Alligator mississippiensis: one gene and its partner. The protein of the gene in region 1 purifies or fractionates together with the protein of each later gene. This does not show direct contact. Links are inferred from orthologs where the notes say so. Each region holds a gene or a part of one and is shown in the gene's direction. Other genes may lie near its edges.

Region 1 (10,427 bases):
TGGATTTCTCTGTTTAGACAAGGAAGTTTTTTGGCCCATTTCCCCACCTTTCCCTTGCACTGGGATCGTCTCCCTCTGCGCCCGAAGGATCGCTTCCTTTAGGAACGACTTCCTATCCTGCAGTGCATCATTGACTAAACTCCTGAGCACACCGAAGTTAGCCTTCCTAAAGTACAGCACTTCCACCCTACTAGTTATCTTACCCGCTCTACACCCTATGTTGAATTCAATTGATTGGTGGTCACTGTCCCCAAGATGACCATGAATCTACAGCTCCCCTACCAGGTCATCTCCCTTCTACCCAACACGGTCCCTCCTACACAAGGTATAGCTATCTATACCTGTGGTCCAGTCATAGGTGCAGTCCCACCAGGTCTCCGTTATCCTTATGAAATCATATTTGTTATTGCTTAGCAGAAGGGTCAGTTCCTCCTATTTGTTCCCCATGCTCCTGGCATTCATGCACAGGCAGCTAAGCTTGCCATCAGAAGCCCTAGGCTTGCTTCTTTGTGCATTTACAGGAATCCTGTCCTTGGGCTGGGGTCAGAATAAGTTTGATTGTATTTCCTGACCTGCTGATTATGTGTTTATCACTTCCTGGGCTTGCTCCGATGGTTGTTCGCCCATCCCCCAACAATATTCGTTTAAAGCTCTGTCAAGAAGGACAGCCAATCCAGTTGAAAATAGCTTCTTTCCCATTGGGGTGAGGTGGAGGTCTGTCTCTGAGGTGCGGACTCTGATTGAAGAAGCTGAAGCCTTCGCAGTGGCACCAACACCTCAATCTTCTTTTTACTTCATCAATACATCTCTCCTTCCTGCGCCTGTAACCCATAACAGGAAGGATCGAGGAAAAAAACACCTGTGCCCCCAACCCTCTGAGCCTGGCCCCAGAGCCCTGTAGTCACTTATGACCTGGCTGGGATTGCTCTGAACCATGTCGTTTGTACCCACATAGATGAGGAATGTGAGGTAGTGGTTGAAGGGTCAGATAAGGTTAGGGTTCCTTTCAGCTACATCCCAGATACGGGCCCCTGGGAGGCAGCAGGCCTCATTAAAATGCTCAAAACCCAACAATTATTCATTTTTTATATTTGGTACAAAAAACCTACTCTCAATGTACTGGATAGAGGAAAGAAAAATAGTCTGTCTACACATTTTGCATTTCAAACTGGAATTAATAAATATTACTCATACTTTTAAGTAGTTTTATTTTTAAAAGAAAAAATATTTTAATTAAAAATTGATTTACATGTTAAGACATATGTTTTAATATTTTTTAAATCTTAGGCTTTTATCCATTTGGATCAGAATAGTTCTAATTGGCTCTTCTAACAAAGAAAAAACAGCCACTTTTAGAAAAGTGTAAAAGCAACTAAGACGGACAAACTGGTAAATTAAAATAATTATACTCTGTGGTTAACAGGATTTAATCTCTGTGAAAGTTAATACTGTTATGGCTAAACAAGGACTTACTGTTACTGTAACTTGCCTGTTTGGAGAGGTCCTTCAGGAAATTCTCATCATTATCTTCATCAGAGAACAGTATGTTTGGTGGCTTGTATTCTACCAAAAACATCTTTGTTACAATGGCACTTTCTCTGCAGTCCCTGAAAGTCAGTAAAAAGGTATACCACAAAATTATGTGCAGTAAAAAGTAAATCAACACTGAAAATAGGTCCTGTCTTGAAACTCCTCCTTCTGGACAGCAGACTACTATTTCATCAAACAAGCATAATCCCAGTCAAACAAACCACTGATATTCTAGGTATGATAAAATTCACCAATAAAAACGGATAGAAAAAAAATGGATACATTTAATACCTGTTCCTCTTTCACAAAAATCCTCTTTCACCTGTTCTTTGCTCCCAATATGCCTTACTAGTGATTACTAGGGTGCCATTCATTTGCATGAGAGAAGGCAGCATGCCCCCCATTATTTATAAGGATGTATGGTAGGGGAGTATTTATCTCCTACTTTGTATGACTACTTATAATTAGGGGTCCATAGTGCAGCTCTAAAAGCAGCTTAGGCCAGCACTCTCTGCTGCAACACACCAACATGTCACTGATACCTCAGCCCCGAAACCCAGGGAGTGGAACTTCCAAGTATGCTCCAACATCCACAAATGCTGAACAAGAAACTAGTGGCACCACGGCCAGGTCAATGCTTAAAATTCAAGCGCTAGAATTTTAATATTAGGAGACAGTGGGTGCGTCTACTCAAGATGCTTTATTGCACAGTAGAACAATTTACTGTGCAGCAAGATCCCAGGGGCAGGGATCAATCTCCCGCCCCCTGCTGCCTGGCTGACTGGAAGAAAATTTGTTCCCAGTCAGCCATCTACACATGCCTTACTATGCAGTAACTATGTAATTAATTTGCTACCTGCATTTGCTGTGGAGTAGACCAATGTATTGTGCAATAAGTGTCTGCCTGTGTAGACAGCTGACCAGGATCAAATTTGCTTCCAGTCAGTTGGGCAGCTGGCGGGGAGGAGGAGAGGGGGTGGGAGGAAGGGTGGATAACTCCCTGCCCCAAGGAGTTGCCTGCTGCCAGGGCGGGCTCCAATGGCAGAGCCTGGGCTGCGACAATGGTCCCTTGTCCCAGCAGCATGGAGCTCCTGGCTGTGGCTTCACAATTAGGGGCAGGGGGCTTGGAAAGAGCTGCAGAGGACAGGCAGGTCCCAGCCCCCTGCCCAATCCGTCGGTGGGGCAGCTATCAGTGAGCCTCCAGCTGGGCAAGGATTCCTTGCAAAGCCGGGGGTGGTTGGGAGCTGTCCCAGGCTCCTGACCTCATCTGCCAGTGGGGAAGCTAGCAGTGAGTTCCTGACTGAGTAGGGAATCCCCGCCAAGCTGGGGCTTACTGCTAGCTGCCCCACTGGTGGAACAGGGAGAAATCCCCACTCAGCTGAGGTTCACTGCTAGCTGCCCCACTGGTGGACTGGGGTAGGAGGCTGGGACCTGCCCCTCCCTTGCAGCAATTTCCAAGCCCCCTGCCCGCAGTTGTGGAGCCGGGGCTTCGAGCTCTCTGCTGCTGGGGCAGGGGAACACAGTCCCAAGCCAGGCTTCACCACTGGCGCCTACCCTAGCAGCAGACACCTCCCAGGGGCAAGGAGCAGTCTCCCATCCCCCACCAGGAGACAGCTGTCTCCTGGCCCCATGCTCTCTGCCAGCCCCTGGGCTTGTACCCAGTGGGAGCCTAAAGTTTCCCCTGGCTGCTTCAGGGGGCCAAACCAGGGTGGGAGCATCCTTCTCTGGGCTGCTCTGTTTGGGAGCAAATCTGGTCCCAAATGCCTGCAGATGTAGATGCCTACCCAGGGTGGGTTTCCTCCACAGTAAATTACTGTGGAGTAAACCCATCTAGCATCATTTGCATGTGTAGATGCACCCAGTGTGATCTAGTGAGGCTTGTGGGGCTGGGATTATGAACAACTAGCCTTTAATCTATTACTAATCTAGTAGATGGCCTTGAGCAGTATGCTTTGGGTCTGGACAGACATAACACTAAGAATAGTTTACATGCTGTTTAAACCTGATAGACATACTAGTCTGTTAAACCAATTTTAAACTGCCTGGAATGGTTCAGATGAGTACCTGGAAAATCAAGTACTCTTTTGAACTGGTTCACTGTGAACTGCGTCAATGTTATTTGTGGAGTCCAAGTTGTCCATGATTCAGATTGGTGGGGGTTTCCATGGTCTAAGCACCCAACACTGCATCACTTCTCATCCCCTCTCCCCTCTGCTGTAACTTTCTGCTCTGGTATAGGACCAGAATTCTACTGCCCCTTCTTTTTTCTTTTTGTTGGCACTTTTTACCACATTTATAGGGCACTGCTGGTTTAATGAAAGCTATTTTTCTAGCAACCAGCTGTGCCCTTATCCCCTACTCAGCCATGGTCCTTCATTATGCCCCCTCCGGGAACGCAAAAATATGGATCCAAGCACTCCCCCTCTCCCCAACAAGGCAGGTAAGCACACTGCAGACTTTGGTCAAGTGCACGCTACTGAACTTTCATGTTTAGGAGAAAAGGGAAAGCAAAAAAGTGAACCACAATCACAGGTCATTCACCCCTTAGGATCCTCAAAGCATGGGTGTAAGCACTCTTCTCCCATTACTTGCCCAATGTGAGGCAGGCTGGGCTGAGTGCTCACTCCCATCCTCTGGTGTTGGAGCTACAGTTCTTCAATGGCTAAAAGGTAATCCTTCTACCTGGAAGGCTAGGGCACTGTACATGCCAACATCTCTGACTCATGACAATTGTGAACCAGTTCCCAATCAGTGACATTTTTTTAAATGGTTCAATTGTTACATGCCCACACCCACAAAAACCTGGAAAGACGGACTTCACAGAAACTTGGAAAGACTGCTCCCGTCTCTGGATTGCCATGTGTAAAATGGGAAAAGGAATATTAAACTACCACACAGCATTAGTGGGAAAATGTGTTAGCTCATCTTTTGAAGTGGGCTCATTAAAAGTAAATTATTAAGAAAATAAAAACTATTATACAAATGTATTTATGATGAAAACTTTTCATGGCAAGATTCTATAGTGCCTAGTGAAATTGGGCCCTCATCCATGACTACTGCCCATGGCAAGTAATTAGTAAATACTAATAAATGTGGTGGCAAACTGATATCAATGAAAAGGAATCCATACAAGGTACTTATATTGTAAGCCTTGTGAGGCAAGGAGTATCTTTCATTCTGTATTTGTACAGCATCTGGCACAGGGTAGTCAAGATCTCTGACTGCCATTCTCAGGCACTGCTGCAGTATAAATAACAACAACAACAATATAAGATAGACAGTTGCTACTTACATTGTGACTGCCGTAGCTCTGACCATTATTTTCCCATCAGGCAAGGTGATAGGTCCCTTATACTTAAAAGTGTTATGCTCTCCATAGCCAGATTTTCTAAAGAGCTCTGGTTTACTTCCATCTAAAGTGTAGTATATGGTGACATCAGGGGTATCTGCAAGACACAAATAAGATATGCATTAAAACTATATTGGGACTTTGCAAAAATAAGGAAGGTCTAGTACTGCTGAGGCTTGCATATGCTTAATTACTCATCTAAGCAAAATTAAGCAGGTGTGCAAGTGATTGCAAGGCCTGGACTATATCAATTTTTAAGCCTCACAAAATTCAGCAACAAAATAGTTGGACAATTTCATCACAGGGATTTCCCTTCTCAGAAGATAACTGTAGAGCAGGTGATCTTGTATGAAAACAAACACTGGTTCTAAGTCTTGCACGTTCTAATGTGAACATGGATTATGGTTGAAAAATAGAAACTGGAATTTCAGAACTGGCAGATATGACCTTTGGAGAAGAACTGACGAGAAAGTCCCAGTTTTGAAAAATTGTAGCATACTGCAAAATCATCAAACGCCCAGGTTTTCATACTACACTGTGATTACAGAACAAACACAGCATCACTTCAAATGGAAGGAGGACAAAAGTAGTGGAATTAAAGGCCCTGATCCTGCAAATACAGACACCTATGATTTACCATACAGTTTACACTATGTGAATAGCGCTGTTCACTACAGTCGGACTACCCACGCGTATAAAGCACAGGTGTGTTTGCAGAATTAAGACCCATAAAATTTATGCTGGTCACTTAAGAAAATGGGTACCCGTGAAAAAAGGTGTGAATACAAATGCAGTATCAAAAAGCATGGACATCAATTTGCAGAAGAAGAGGAGAAGAGCTTCCACTATAGACTGAAAGCTGCTGTTTGTACCTGACTTAATTTCAACGAGGGTATTTGTATCTATTTCATGTTTCGCCTTCCGGGCAAGAGGAAGCTGAAGCGGTATAATCTGAGGCACGAGGACGGAACCAGCAGTCATTTTTTCCCTCTGTGTGGACACCTGAAAAACAAAACAGCATATGACTTTTAAAATGAACATGTGAGTGAGGGGGCACGTGTGTGCGCACACCCTTGTGTGCATGTGCATGAACACACCTACATGTATGTGCACACCTCCACACTCCCCTGCACACACATACGCATCCCCCTCACCCCCCGCACGCAGGCGGGCGAGGCAGATAAAAGCGCAGCGAAATGCCACCCCCCGGGCCTTCACCCTCTCCGTCGCCCCCCGTCGCCCCGCCGTTACCACGGACGCTCCCCGCCAAGCCCCGCCCCCCCGAGGCAGCAGCCTCTCATTGGTCCGCCGCGCGCTCCCTCTCAACCGGCGCCCGTGGCGTTCGGTGAGGGTGGAGTTTGTGGTTAGCGTCATCAGTGCGCGCCGCACGGCCCTGGTGTCGCTGCCGGGGAGTTGTGCGTGGGGAGCGCGGAGGCGTCCCTCTCCTCCCCCAGCGCCATGGCCGAGGTCAAGGTGAAGCCCGAGGTCCCGGACCCGCTGGACGTAGAGAACAGGTGCCGGGCGGGCCCTGCGGTGTCTCTGGCGGGGCGGGTACGGGGCCATGGGGGAGCCCCGCACTGGGGTGGCCGTATTTCCATTTTAAAAAAAGAAGGTACCTGTAGGTGGGGGGAGGGATATATGATGGAGGGGGCGATAGTGACATGTCCGTGCCCTGCCCCTGGTCCTCACTTCTAACCCACAGCCCCCTGCCCCACCCCCCCAGCCTTCCTGTGCCCCTCACTCCTGATCTGCAGCTCCCTGCCCTCCCACCCCAGGCCTGCTGCCCCCAACTCCCTTGCCCTGCTGCAGCCCCAGTGCTAGCAAGCAGGCAGGCACACTCCCCCCCCCCCCCCCCCATCTGCACCCCTGCAGCTGCTGGGGCCCGTGCTCAAAGAACTGGTGACCAGCCTCTACTCAACTTTCCCCGCTGCTGGGACAAGCCGGGGAGAGCAAAATCCCAGACACTTGCTGATATTTAAAAAAACTGCCTAGATAGAGATAGGAGGACCCAAAAACAGGACATGTCCAGGAAATGTCCGTGGTAACGTATGGTAACCCTAACCCACACTGACTCCTCTTCCTCATCCCACTCAGGATCATCGAGCTCTGCCATCAGTTTCCCCACGGCATCACGGATCAGGTGATCCAGAACGAGATGCCCCACACGGACGCCCAGCAGCGGGCCGTGGCCATCAACCGGCTGCTCTCCATGGTAGGGTTGCATCTGCTTGGTGGGGGCACCAGCCCATCCCCTCACAGCTTCCCTGCCTGCACCCTTGCTTCCTAAGCAGGTGTGGCTTTAGGGCTGGGCCTGGCCTGCTCACTTTTTTGGACTGGCTAGAGCAGAAAACGTGTTTTGTTCAGTGTTAGCAGCAGCTTACTGCTATTCTTCTTTAGTGCAGGGATAACACAGTTGGGTCTGTTGGGGCCGAGGGGCTGTGGCCAGCAGCCCGGGCACGTAGGCCGGGGAAGTCGGCACGGCGGACTAGAATTAGGCACTGACGCGTGGAGGTTGATTAAAGATTGTTTTACTTACACTGTAGATGGTCGCAGTGCAGGCAGGAAAACTTGCTTGGTTACAGTTGTAGATAGAAGAAAAGAAAAAAAACTCGAACGATGAGAGCTCTCTGAACCTATACGAGAGTCCGAGCTGTGACTCTCAACGAGCATGCAGGGTAGGGATACGTCAGGGATTGTTCGGTGACGGGGAGAGACTCTTGATGGCTGATCAAACCACCATTCGGTCCGAGATTTACGTAGAAATCCACGAGATAATCGTGGACTCCTTGCCGGAATTCTCTCGGATTTCTCCCGGAATTCTCGGAATCAGGGTTCTCAGGATCCTCCTGAGATTCTCGGAGATCTCCGACTTGGGCGGAAACTGCTCAAGCCTCTTATACGGCTAGCAAGCCAATCGCTAGCCGCCACGTGGAAATAATTTAGAAACAGCCAATAGTGGGACACAAATTTACATACGGGTGGCGGGAACTCCTTTGCACCGGGGTTTTCTCTCTGCAGCTGAGAATTGCACTGTGCAAAGAAAGCTCCCGACGGCGGGAAATAATTCTGCAGTGCCGAAGCGCACACACAATCATTGGGTCATGACAGGGTCGTTAAGCACATTTATTCCCTTGGGAGACTAAGTGGAAGTCAAGATCCACTGACATCAAAGGAAGTTTTGCCACTGGCTTCAGTGGGACCTATATTTCATTCAAATTCTACCAGATTCAGGATTTGAAGGCTGATTTTTATTTAGTTTTGAGCTTCTCTCTGACCTCTTTATCTGCTTTAATTTTAGTTGCATTTGTTATTCTGTAACACCCACATAACCAAGTATAGCTGCACAGGCTCAAATAGCACCAGCCAGTATTATGCCGAAGTGGTGACCCAGGTTCCTTGCATTCCTCCACAGTGAACAGAGCAGCTTCCCTGAGAGCATTTGTGATGGTGAAATCCCATGCCTTGATCTTGTCATAATAATAACAAGACCTTTTGCTAGAAACGTGGCCAGACTTATGGCTCAATGTAGAAAAAGATGTCCACACTAAATATTAGAAGCAAAAGGTCGCTGTTGAATGTATCCTGTACTCATCTTTTTGTTCCAAGGGTCACATGTATGGTGTGTGGGCCGCGCCCCGATCCCACCTTTCTCGCCATGTGCGGCGGTGATTCCGATCTCATTCCCGTCGCCATGTGCGAGCCGGGGGCAAGCCGGGCCCGTCTTTGTTGCACACGGGCTGTGGCCGGCAGCCCAGGCACGCGGGGCTGGAGAGAACCGCAGGGCGGTTTAGCGCACGCGAGTTAGAATTAGTTATGGAGGCATAATGGTTGATCGAAAAGATTGTTTACTTACACCCAAAGATGGTATTGGTGTAGGCTGGATAGGTTTCCAGGCACAGCTTCCGCTTGGATCCTCACTAGAGGAACACCACAAATCGATTGCTCCCACAGAGTTGCTCAGGCTCCGCGGGTCCGGTTCGGTTCCCAGGTCTCCTGGAGCTGTTAAGACTCCGTGGGTTCGAAAATTGGGTTTGGTTAGGTTCGAAAAGTTTCCCCGGAGTTACTTATGCTCCGCGGGTCCGAAGTTACAGGAAAGGGATACGTCTAGGATTGCGCTCAGTGATGGGGAGCGGCGAGAAGCGAAAGCTCCGTAGGCTCGGTTCCATTGCCTCTATTGCCTGCTTAGGGGAGGCGCGTTGGGTCCGCAGCGCTTGGAGATCTTCACACAGAATCTCTCTCATCCTCCCTCCTCCGGCTTGGGCGGAAACTACCCAAGCCTTTTGTACGGCTAGCAAGCCAATCGCTAGCCGCCACGTGTGCCTACATTAGGAATGGGCCAATAATGTGGCACGGATCCTAATACAAATGGCGGGAACTTCTTTACAGCGTGTATCACTATGATGCAAAAGAAATGCACACTGCAAAGAAGATATAATTTGGCGGGAAATCCCCCGTTGCACCAGAGTTCTCTCTTGCAGCAGAGAACTCTACCGTGCAAAGAAAGTGACAAATTGGCGGGAAATAATTTAGCGGTGCCGAAGCGCGCACACAAACAAAAAATCACAACTTTGGGTTGTGACATATGGTAGTACTGTATTCGTGATGTTGTAGCTGTGGTGGTCCAGGAATTGTGAGAGGCAAGAATTTTTTTGGGGGGTGATATGTGATCCTGCACTCTTCTGAGCTTTCACCTGCATAGTGGTGGGCAGGCAACTGATAACAGCATGTTGATGTAATATGCTGTCATCAGGTTGTCCTACCTTTAAAAAAAAAAAAAAAAAAAAAAAGGTACAGTGGACTTCAGGATCAGACCTAGGTAGAGCTTGTTGCAGTAGTCGTTTGAGATAACAAAGGTGATAATGACAAGACCTGTGTGCCAAAGATGAAAGAATGCAATTTGGTCCCTGCTGGTCTTTGGAAGTACTCTGGAGAAGAGCCTAGGGTCCTGAAAACGTTAGTTTCTGTGACAACAGGGGCAAGTACACTCAAATGAGGGGATGTTGGCAATTTTTACCAAAGGCTTTGTGGTAAAAATGGTTTAAATGTTTTTCTATACATCCCATTTGGAAGTGGACTGAGCTTACGAAAGGGCTGGATGAAGCCAGCTGTTTTGTCCACATCTTAAGAAATGCATGCTGGGTGCTGCTATCACTCAACACAAACGCAGCCCTGGCCCAAGCTCTCTACTGGGAAGAGCCTGGCACCACACCCAACCCACAGCAGCCCTTGCCCCGAGCACAGATCCGGGGGGCACACGCTCCCGTGGGGATGAGCACAGTGGCGGGATCCGTCCCCTGCAGCCCCAGGATGAGCCTCTCACAGCTCTGTCCCACACTGCGCTCTACCCTGGCTGGGCAGTGCCTGCCCCACCCTCTCCCTCATCACAGGGGCCTCAATCTGTGCAACCCCCTCACCCCCGCTCATCAACACCCTTCTCACCCTGCAACAAACTTGCCAGCCAGACTCCGCTCTCCAAGCTGGCCATGTGTGTGCTGTGGCCAGTTACACTGATACAATATGGACTGATGTATCGTTTCACCTCTAATCC
Region 2 (10,609 bases), on another chromosome or scaffold:
ATACTGTGTGTGTGTGTGTGTGTGTGTGTGTGATATATGCAGTTGATATACTGTAGGCATACAGTATAGATGGTATAATTTCTCTCTCTCGGTCCATTCAATTGGTTACATACAGTTATGTACAATTGGTTATATGCAGTTACATAAAATTAGTTATACATACACTATCTATCTATCTATCTATCTATCTATCTATCTATCTATCATTTAAAGGAACTTCTAATACTGAATATTATAGTTGGGAATGCACTGGGGGAGAGGGAGGCACTGGAATTAAGGAATAATTTTCTCCCAGTTCTAATTGTATGAACAGGTGGTTTGAAAGCAATAAAGCATCTAGCAGCAATAAAACATTATTAGATTTCAATATAAAACAGATTTCTGGGTCAGTTGGCAGGGACCAATTAAAATAGTAAGGGACCTGGGCAGGTGAGAGAACAGACCAACACCTGAGTAGACATATAGGCACAGAGAAAATCATTGTGAAGATAATATTGCACATTCATAACCAATAATTAATCACTAATTGCATGCAACCCAAGAACTCCAGCGAGGCAGGTTCGTCTGAAAACCGACAGTGAGTGAGGCATGGGGTTTGGGGATAAACTGACAGTCATTTGGACCGACAGACCAGATCTGGTAATCTTCCCCATCTCCTTATGCATTTTAGCATAAAGGCAGCCCCCAATGCACCAGCCTGCTGAGATGCTCTCAGTTCCAGCAGCAGCTGGGGGAGAGCGGTGAAACGGGCAAAGGAAGATGCACTATATTCTGTAACAGCCCTCTCCTTTTTTCCCTTTTTTTAAAGAGAAGCATCATACCTGGAGCCCTCCGGATCTTGCCTGTCACCTCCTGCCAGCTCCTTGGGGCCACATGCTTCTGCCCCCTCCAGAAAGGAAAGCAGGGACCCGCAGCTCTTTCATGTCTTAAGCTCTTTGCAACACATTCATGCACCATGTGTGTGTGTATGTGGGGTGCGTGTTTGTGTGTGCACACGCAGGTGCTTACATTTAAAAAAAGAAAGAAAAGAAAAAGATCTGTCTCCTTCATCCAGAGACAGGGAATAAATAAATGGGAGGCAAATCATTCAGTCCATCGCAGCCCCTCTGTACAGTTTTGGGTAGCATCGCTTCTGTGTCACACAGCCACACACACACCCCTTCTGGCTGCAGCCCTGCAGATATGTTACTGAGCTCTGGTGTCTCTCAGTTACCATCAGAGACCTCCGGGTTCTTTGCTTAGACAGCTCCGAGCTGCTATTTTTAGCCCCTTTCCCATAGAACAGAAGTAGATATTCCATTAAAATACACCGAGAGATAACACTGCACCAATATACATAGGAATCGGTCCGCCTCCTCCTCACCTCCCCCTCCTCCCTTCCACTGGTTATGAATTATGCTCAGTCCTGGTCAAATCCATCTCTCCAACCCCTCCATGTAGGATGCTATGAATGAGTACAGTGCTCCATACTGTACTATAAGCCTGAACAGTGCAGAGGCCTGCGGTCCCCTGTTTGCCCACAGTCCTGCCCGGCTGAGATTGGAGTCCTGTTGTGCTTGGAGCTGAACACACAGCGAGAGGGTCCCTGCCCCTCCAGAACAGCAGATGGGAGGGGAAACTGAGGCACAGAGATGGGGCATGGCTTGCTGAAGCTCACATAGCAGAGCTCAGCATGTGGCCCCCCGGTGTCCCAAGTCTCAGGACAATATTTTACCTGCTGCCTTCTTCCTCGCACCACTATACGTGACTGACAAGCTGCAGGAAAAATTCTTTTTTGCAAGCTTTTTGGAATTTGGGGGGAATTTTTCCAAATATTCGAGTTAGTCTAATATAAGACATCAGATTTACCCAAAGAACCTTGTCTGCCTGTGTCCTTAAACCAACATGGCTACAATCTACACCCCTGTGACAAGGTGCAGGACATGGGAGCCCTGGGCCCCGGGCCTGCAGGCAGGGCTTAAGATACTCCATTCCTTGCTTCATATGGTCATTTCAGTCTCATCTTCAACCTCATCCTAGGCCTGGGTGGGATGTGCTGCCTGGTGGTTAAATCAGGGCCACTCAGCTCTGCCCTGTACAGGTCCAAGACCCTCCCCTTCCTCCCTGCCTCAGTTTCCCCATCTGTGTAATGAAGGAATTGATGTTGGTCAGCATCTGCAAAGTATCCTGAAACACAGGCACTGCAGCTGTGATTCTCTCCACCTCAATGATTTCCTCCAGCCCTTTCCAAAGCATTGAGTGCATGAAGGGAACAGGTGAGATACAGCCAAGGGTTGGCAGGGTCAGGAGATTTTCAGGCAGATGTGCTGATGGGCATGTGCCTCTGCATCCAGCGGAGCCTGTGACAGGCAGCCTGCACACTTCTTCACACCTGCCTTGCACTGTTGCTATGGTTACCCTGCCTAATTATATTCCCTCCTGCTCTTTGCCCCAAGTTCTCAGCCAACCAGGTGGCAGCGGGGGGAAAAATCCATTTCCTTCCTAATTTGTGAGCCTTTGATTTTAGCCCAACTCTGTGACAGCAGGATTTAAAACAGAGTTACTGTCACTGCGGCATTATCAGTAGTGCTAGGTGCTGTACAGCCCCTGCTTTGTAGTGGGACAGTGATATTGGCTTGGGGTGTGATTTTTTTTTACTGATGCCGCAGTCCTACCCACTAATGTAGATGCGGCTACACTGATATAAAAGTGCTTATTGCACTATGTAGGTGCAATGGCTGAGGAGTGGGTGTCCAGCTGGTGTAAGTGTAGGGGATGCACGAAAGGGCTGCATACCCCTGAATGCAGGAATGTACATGCCCATAGGCACATCCACCTGGGAGGACTTGGCTGGCACTCTTGGACCCCAAAAAGTCTATCAGCGCCAGGCGCACTGTCTTCTCACCGCTGTGTGTGCTGAGCTGGTCTGGCCCACCCCAACCACTGACTGGGACCATGAGTTTAATAAAGCAGCACAAGGGTCTGCAGGACCTAGCTGGGCAATCCCAATCTCCCAGGTTTCAACTCCTGCAGCTCTGAGCCCTCCTGCAGTGGAGATGCTCCAAGGGGCCCCAGTGCTTTTGAAAGTGCATGGGACCAAACCCCTTTGGAAATCCCAGATGACATCTCAAGCAGGGGAGAGAACTGGTCCTTGAGGTGAACCATGAAGCAGGGGAAGCTAGTTGGGGTGGGGGAAAGGGCCACCTATCCCTTCCCTGATCTTTCTTTCTTTCTCTCTTTCTTTCCCATCATCTTTCCCTTCCTTCATCCTCCTCCCTTGGTTGCCTAGGCAACTTCACAGCTGGGCACAGTATCCCAGGGCGACGGTCCTGCTGCTGAGCAAGGATAGATCCCAGCGCCCTGGAAACGGGAGGTGGGAGCGAGGTGCCTCTCTCTCCCTCTTTGCATCCCTGCACAACCCAGATGCAGGTGGTTATTTTGGGGTCGAGTTGGCTTATCCTCTGCACCCCCCCACCCCCAGCTCCTGCATTGCTATTTTTGGGCAGCACCAGGGAATGAGATGAATCACTCCAGTGCACACAGCCGAGGAGCTGCTTGAAAGCATCACGGTGGGGGGGTAGGGGGGAGGCTGGCATTGGGAGGAACCGTGGTGGTGCCTCATTCTGCTCAGAGGGGCTGGGGGCTCTGCCGCCCTAGATAAGGAAGACGTTTCAAGGGACAGAAACCCCCTACCCTGGACCTGATCTGGTGCTTATACCAATACCCACCACCATGGTATCTGTGGTGCTTATACCAATACCCACCAATTTGTGGTGCTTATACCAATACCCACCACCATGGTATCTGGGCACTTTATTGTGATCTCGAATGTATTCACCTTCACCCTCTCTGCACACCAGGGCAGTGCCATCATTCCCCCTATCCCTTTTTGCACAGCAGGGTTAAATGAGGTGTCGAGGCCACGTATTGGCCCTTGGTGTCAGAGCTGGAACTTGATCCCAGTTTTCCTGACCATGAAGCCAGCTTTTCTTTCCCTATTTCCCTACAGCTCCTTCCATTCACTTGGATTGGAAGGACTAGCTTAAATGTAGACAAAACTCTGGGGTTGGAGGTGATATCTTTCATTAGGCCAACTAAATAGTTGCAAAAAAATGTTTTTGCAACTATTTAGTTGGTGTAATAAAAGATATCACCTCTACCCCAAGAGTTTTGTCTGCTTATGTCCTTAGACCAACACGGCTACTCCTGCTACAGCTTAAACATAGTAACTGACCTCTCAGGGCAAGGGTCAAGCAGGAGGTGGTGTTGAGAAAACATCATTAGGACAGAACATCCCCTAACAGCCAGATCCAGGACTTCAGTGCCTTGGGCTGGCAGGCGAAGCAACTAGCTTTGGTGCTTGGAGGAAGCAATAGGAGAAAAGCCTGGCGGAGGAGGGCCTGTAACTACATCTGCACAGCTCCCCTTTGCTTCGGCACTGACCCCAAACACAGCCAATATGTAAAGCGACCTCCTGATGGCTTTGATCTCAGTGCAAAGCTTTGCCACAGACTTCAGCAGAGTCAGGACTTCACCCACAGGCATTTCAAGGGCCGGAGCTCCATGTCACCCCATGACCCTGGTAGGGTCTTGGTGGAAAGGATCAAGGCCGAGTGTACCAGTGTTCCTCTCCTGGTGCTCTCTCCTTGGTGAGCCTATGCCCCCCTCAGCTGCCTGGTGATGGGAAGTTGCAGCGGAGGGAACAGAAGAGGCAGGGGGGAGCTTGGTTATCTGCAGGCAGGAGATAGTTTAGCCTCCCTTTGATTCCCCAGGTAAAAATAGCTGCAGCCTTCCTGGGCTCATCTCCTGCGGTTACCCATTAACCCTTTGCTGGAGCTGGCAGTACACTAACAGGCCGAGGCCTCCTGCTAACTGGACAAGTATATTTGGGGGTGCTGTGCTGGCCAGCAGTGCTCCACACCCCCTGTTCTACCAGCCCTGGGGTCCCTGCATGCACACCTTCATCAATGGCCTTCAATCCTAGCCCCAAGGCCTTTGCAGGCAGGCGGAAGCAAGACAGCAGGGAGCTCAGCAATCAGAGGAAGAGGGGGGAGTGAAATTTCAGCAAAGAACAGGGCATATGGATGTGCCTTCCTGAAACCATCCCTCTCTCTGCTATTTATATCTGTGCAACTGTGAGCAGATCTGGCTCCCAAGATGCGCGTGTGTGAGCGTGCACAGAGGAAGAGGTTCATCCTTATCACTGCTCAATATTAGCAAGAACAGAATAGCCTCCTGCATCAGACCGGAGGCCCCTCCAGCCCAGTTTCCCGTCTCCAAAAGCAGCAAGTAATTAATGCTTTAAAGAATCTGGGAATTAGCATGTGGGTAGCGATACACCTTCAGCCTGACCTTCCCAGCCACCGCTGGTAGGACATGGGTATGTATATCCCCAGCTGCTGGGTGTAATAGCCCCTGATGGACCCGGCATCCATGCATTTGTCCAATTCAGTGGTCCTCATTCTTTTTCAGACTCGAGGCACACCTCAGAAAATGTCAGCTCCGAGTCTTCACTTTATTTTTGACGACAGAAAAATCCTGGAGCAATTCTTCTGTTGCAAAGACCTCAGCAGCTCCGAATGCTCTTTGGTTTCCTCTTGCGAATCGCGCGCACGCACCTAATCGCACTAACGTGGTGCGGCACTCTGCAGCCCCTCCGGGCAGGATCTCCAGGCACCCCACGGCACTGCAGCACCCTGGCTGAGAATCACCAATCCCATCTCACGCGGGATTTGTCCGTCTCGCCCCTACCCTGCAGCCACGAGGGAGCAGTAGGGGTCCATCAGGGTGCAATAGGTGATTCAGGGGGAGTTCCCTTTCCTTGCGGCTGCCCTGGCCTAGACTCAAGAGCAGCTGGTTTCTTCCACTCCACAGCTGGCTTTGCATCCACCTCCCCCCGCAGACCTACATACATCCTTCCCCACAAGCCAGCAGGGGCACATATACAAATACCGCCCCCCATCAAAATCAGCAGGGACTGTGACACGCCCCCAAACCAGCAGCGAGGAAGAGCCCTTCCCCCCTCCCCCCCAACGGGTTCCGCATTTATAGCCCTTTCCCGCGCCGCCGCCCCGCCCTCTCCTGTTACGTCACCCGAATGGCCACGGCGCGCACCAATGAGCGCCCGCCGGCCCGCCCCGGCCCCGCCCCTTGGAACGCGCTGTATCCCGGGCTCGCGGCGGCCACGTGCGGAGCGGGCGGGGCCGGGTCGGGCTGGGCAGGTAACGCGCGGTTCGGTTGGGCCCGGTCCGGCTCGGCGGCCCAATGGCAGCGTCGCACCCCCGCGGCCGGGGCCGGGGCCGGTGCTGGGGCTGGGGCCTGCTCTGTGCAGCCCGCGCTGGGCCCTCCGCGCCCGGGGGCTGCCTCGCTGCTGCCGCCCCGCGGGGGCACTGCGGGTGCGCACCCGGCACGGAGCCTGCCCGGCCTGCGCTGGGATGCCAGCTCTGCCCCAGGGGGCCCTTCTCCGGTTACACACTCACGTTCTCCAGTCGGGACCCAGGAGGGGGGCAGTGGCATAGAGGCCCAGGGAAGGGGGCGCTCTGCATCAGATGGGCAAGTCCTGGGCTTCTGGGCTTTGCTGGTTGCCCCCCTGCCCCTTTCTGCTACACGGGTCAAGGTGATGATGAGGCTCCCCCAGAGGCTGGGGATGGGGACTGGGCTGTGCCAGTGCTCCTAGGCACCAGGCCTGGAGGGGCCTGGCTAGAGGCTTTTGCCCCATTGCTTAGGATCAGACTGATGCTGCCTTGGTGTCAGGAAGGGATTTTACCCACTGGTCAGATTGGAAAAAACGGGGGGGGGGGGGAGAGTTACCTTCCTCCGTAGTGGGGGGTATGGCCTTCTACCTGGGATCCCTGGAGCATATATTGCTGGCAGCTCACAGAAACAGGATGTCAGCGGCCATGGTTCCCTTCTTCCCCCGTGGCAGTTTTGGGTGTGCTGTCTTGTGTCGGGGTGGACAGTAGCCTTACATAACATTTAGATTTCATAGATTTCATAGACATTAGGGCTGGAAGGGACCTCGGAAGATCATCGAGTCCAGCCCCCCGCCCAAAGGGCAGGAAGTCAGCTGTGGTCATAGGATCCCAGCAAGATAAGCATCCAGTTTGCTCTTGAAGGTGTTCAATGAAGGCGCTTGAACGACCTCCGGCGGCAGGCTGTTCCAGACCTTGGGGGCTTGGACAGTAAAGAAATTCTTACTTATGTCCAGCCTGAAACGGTCTTATAGTAGTTTATGACCATTCGACCTAGTCGTCATTCCTTGGGGCGCTCTGGTGAACAAACATTGCCCCAGATACTGGTGGTCACCCCTGATAAACTTGTAGGTGGCCATCAGATCACCCCTGAGCCTGCGCTTTTCCAAGCTAAAGAGTCCTAGGGCTCTCAGCCTGTCATCGTAGGGTCTGCTTCCCTGACCTCTGATCATGTGCGTGGCTCTTCTCTGGACTCTCTCAAGCTTCTCCACATCCTTTTTGAATTGTGGAGCCCAAAACTGGACACAGTACTCCAGCTGCGGCCTCACTAAGGCCGAGTACAAAGGGAGAATGACGTTCTGGGATTTGCTTGAGAAGCATCTATGGACGCAAGCCAGCGTTTTGGTCGCTTTGCTATCTGCAGCATCGCACTGCAGGCTCATGTTCATCTTGTGGTCAATGATGACCCCCAAGTCTCTTTCTTGCATAGTGCTAGCCAACATAGCACTGCCGAGCCTATAAGGATGCTGCGGGTTTTTCTTCCCAAGGTGGAGAACCTTGCATTTATCGGCGTTGAACACCATCAGATTCTCATCCGCCCACTTGCTGAGCCTGTCCAGGTCAGCCTGGATCACCCGCCTGTCTTCTGGTGTGGATGCTTTGCCCCAAAGTTTGGTGTCATCGGCGAACTTGGCCAGTCCGCTTCTGACTCCAGTGTCCACATCATTAATGAAGATGTTGAACAGTATGGGTCCAAGGACAGAGCCTTGGGGGACCCCACTGGTCACAGGACACCACGATGAGTGAATGGATGTGTCTGGGTTGGTTAGGACAGGGTGATCCTGCCCCACTAGGTGCCAGCCCCCCTGCCCTGGGATTATATGACAACCTCCCTGGAGAGAAGTGAAGCATGGGTTGGAGACATCTCACCCTTCCCAGCCTGCCTCATGTGAACAAAGCAGCTCTTGCAGGCCTGGGAGTAGAGGAGCAGGTAGGACCTCCTGGGAAGGGAATTTTCAGCATAGCAGGAGGAGAGTGAGGTGGCATGGAGGAAGCAAGGCTAAAAGGGGGCTTGAAATAGGCTGGTTTGATTCCCTGTGTTTGCATCTTACAGCCTTAAAGGGGAGGATGAGAGATTCCTTGGGGCAATTTATGGCCAACTGTGCACACTAACTGCACGTTACGCCTGGGGTCTCATCTCTTGCCCTGGGGTGTGGGTTTCATGTGGGCAATGGGCCCTAGGAGGGTTCCCATGGGTTGTAAGGGGCTCTCTGTCTCTGCCCTTTCAGGCCTCGGCTGCGTTGGATCCCAGCTCTCTTATGTCTGCTTTGTCTCTGCCAGCGCATCATGGCAGGACGGGGCGGCAGAGGGAGGGGGCGGGGCCAGATGACCTTCAACGTCGAAGCTGTGGGCATCGGGAAGGGAGAATCGCTGCCTCCCTCGACCCTCCAGCCATCACCGCTCTTCCCGGTGAGGTCCCCTTCTGTGCGGGGAGGAACAGCAGGTGGGAGCTGAGGCTGTGGGAACCCTCCAGCCCCTTGTTTTCCCTGCTGAATATGCCAGCGCCATGTTTTGGCTGTGGTGTGTCTTCAGGGGGTAGGACAGACCCAGCAAACTCAGTCCAAGCCCCCAGGATGAAGCAACATTAGAAGTCAGAACATAAACAATACTCACTCTCCTGCAACAGGAGGACACCATCTTCTATGGATATATTTTCCCCCCCTGGAGTATGCCATTTTCCATGGATACTATCACTTATCGGAGAAGCTTAGGGCATTGTAGCCGAAGCACCTGGCTACCCCTTTCACAACTCATGAAATTGCAGGCAGCCTTCTAAGCAGTCTAGGGTAAGACTCGAACTCAGGCCTTCAGAGTAATAGCAAGCTGTTTTAGCCACTCTGCCACTGCATCCCACCATACAGACCTGTGCTTGCTCGCAAATACATGCACACAGCTCTATGGATGTACATATCTGTGCATAAATGGTGGTCTCAAGACAGAATCCTGAATCCTAACCCCCATCTGCAAACTATAGAGAGTTTTAAGAGCCTAGTTTAAATTTCCCCCTATAAGGATGGATTTTGTAGGAGCACTGTGGCTATTAGAGTCCCAACCATGACCTATTTTATCAGTGAATAACCGTGTCCCTCACTTCTGGTCCCTGCAGCCCATGGAGTACAGGCCAGTGCCTCTGCAGACAGGTGAGGAGGTGGAGTACATGCTGGCATTAAAGCAAGAGCTGAGAGGAGCCATGAAGAACCTGCCATATTTTGTTAAGCCGGCTGCCCCCAAGAAAGGTACTGGTGACAATTCTCATTTAGATGGGGGTAGCTCATCTAAGGGGGCAGACTGCATGTTTGCTGTGGAGTAAATTCACTTCATCGTAGGAATAGAGCAGGCTTGAAATCTTAAGTTATGCTGAAGTCCATTTCTGGTCCAGAAGGCAGTGGTGTCCAGCAGCTAGAGATCAGGGTAGACGTGCAGGACATCTGGGTTTTCTCCCTGCCTCTTCCATTGGGTGACTTCAGGCAAGTCACTTCTGTGCCTCAGTTGTCCCATCTGTGAAACAGGGGTAATGATATGGACACCCCCCCCACTCCCTCCAGAAAGTAATCTGGGAAAGTAAGCATCTCCTGTAGATGCGCCCAGAGAAATTCAACGTATGCAACCAATCTACATACAACGTATACAACTCGCACGCACGCACAACCACATGCAGATAAAAGCAATATCCGTTCTACAAACACACTCCCCACTCAGACAACACACAGCACTACAGGCAACACACAATATAAAAACACACCATGCCCAATGTACTAATGGGAAGAGCTATGGATTTGTTATCACAGCAGCACTTTGGTAGTGCAAAGGGACCGCAAATATAAATTGGAGCCTATTCAATGCATTACATTGTTTGTTTCTCTTTTGCTTTGTTCATCTCTGTTACTTTGTAGGGGTCCGGCTACTCTCAGTTACCGGGAAATTGTTTTGTGATGCTTGCTTACTATCCCATGTGCTTTTGCAGGGCGGCTTTATTAATTAGAATATTATTAATAATAGCAACCACCACTTTATTAAGCATCTTTACTCCATAGTTCTCAAAGTACTTCAGGATCAAAGTAAGCTTCACCATCCCCATTTTACAGAGGGGAAACTGAGGAACAGAGAAGGGAAGGCACTCGGCCATGCTTCTGACTTGCCTGTCAAGTCAGTGGCAGAGAATCCCTGTCTCTTGGGTCCCAGACCAGTGCTTTATCCATTGGCTCAAACTGCCTGTCCTGACTCCTTTACATTCCCAGACTCCAGCCATAGCCCTGATCTACTCTTGAAAATTCCAGCTGCCTGTGGTGTGATATTTTTTTAGGGGTATAGTTGAACTGTTCCAGCCTCTAGTGTGGACATAGTTACACTGTTTTAAAGCTGCTTTCTATGGGTATCAG

Evidence for each region.
Region 2: the proteins of POLR3F (region 1) and POLR3GL purify together in Homo sapiens (co-immunoprecipitation; 5 studies listed by BioGRID and IntAct, counting the BioPlex papers as one, with this or other methods). This does not show direct contact. The link is inferred for Alligator mississippiensis from reciprocal best matches to the Homo sapiens genes POLR3F and POLR3GL.

The regions. Positions count from the first base shown.
Region 1 is NC_081824.1:231,046,788-231,057,214, reverse strand, and holds the start of POLR3F (DNA-directed RNA polymerase III subunit RPC6), read left to right. Parts: upstream 1-6,248; 5' UTR 6,249-6,337; coding exon 6,338-6,393; intron 6,394-6,973; coding exon 6,974-7,091; intron 7,092-10,427. Other genes in the region: DZANK1 (double zinc ribbon and ankyrin repeat-containing protein 1), read right to left, coding at 1,490-1,607, 4,823-4,976, 5,752-5,962. UniProt on the Homo sapiens protein: DNA-dependent RNA polymerase catalyzes the transcription of DNA into RNA using the four ribonucleoside triphosphates as substrates.
Region 2 is NC_081838.1:17,884,065-17,894,673, forward strand, and holds the start of POLR3GL (DNA-directed RNA polymerase III subunit RPC7-like), read left to right. Parts: upstream 1-6,133; 5' UTR 6,134-6,200; intron 6,201-7,815; exon of another isoform or gene 7,816-8,160; intron 8,161-8,458; 5' UTR 8,459-8,516; coding exon 8,517-8,639; intron 8,640-9,336; coding exon 9,337-9,466; intron 9,467-10,609. UniProt on the Homo sapiens protein: DNA-dependent RNA polymerase catalyzes the transcription of DNA into RNA using the four ribonucleoside triphosphates as substrates. Specific peripheric component of RNA polymerase III which synthesizes small RNAs, such as 5S rRNA and tRNAs.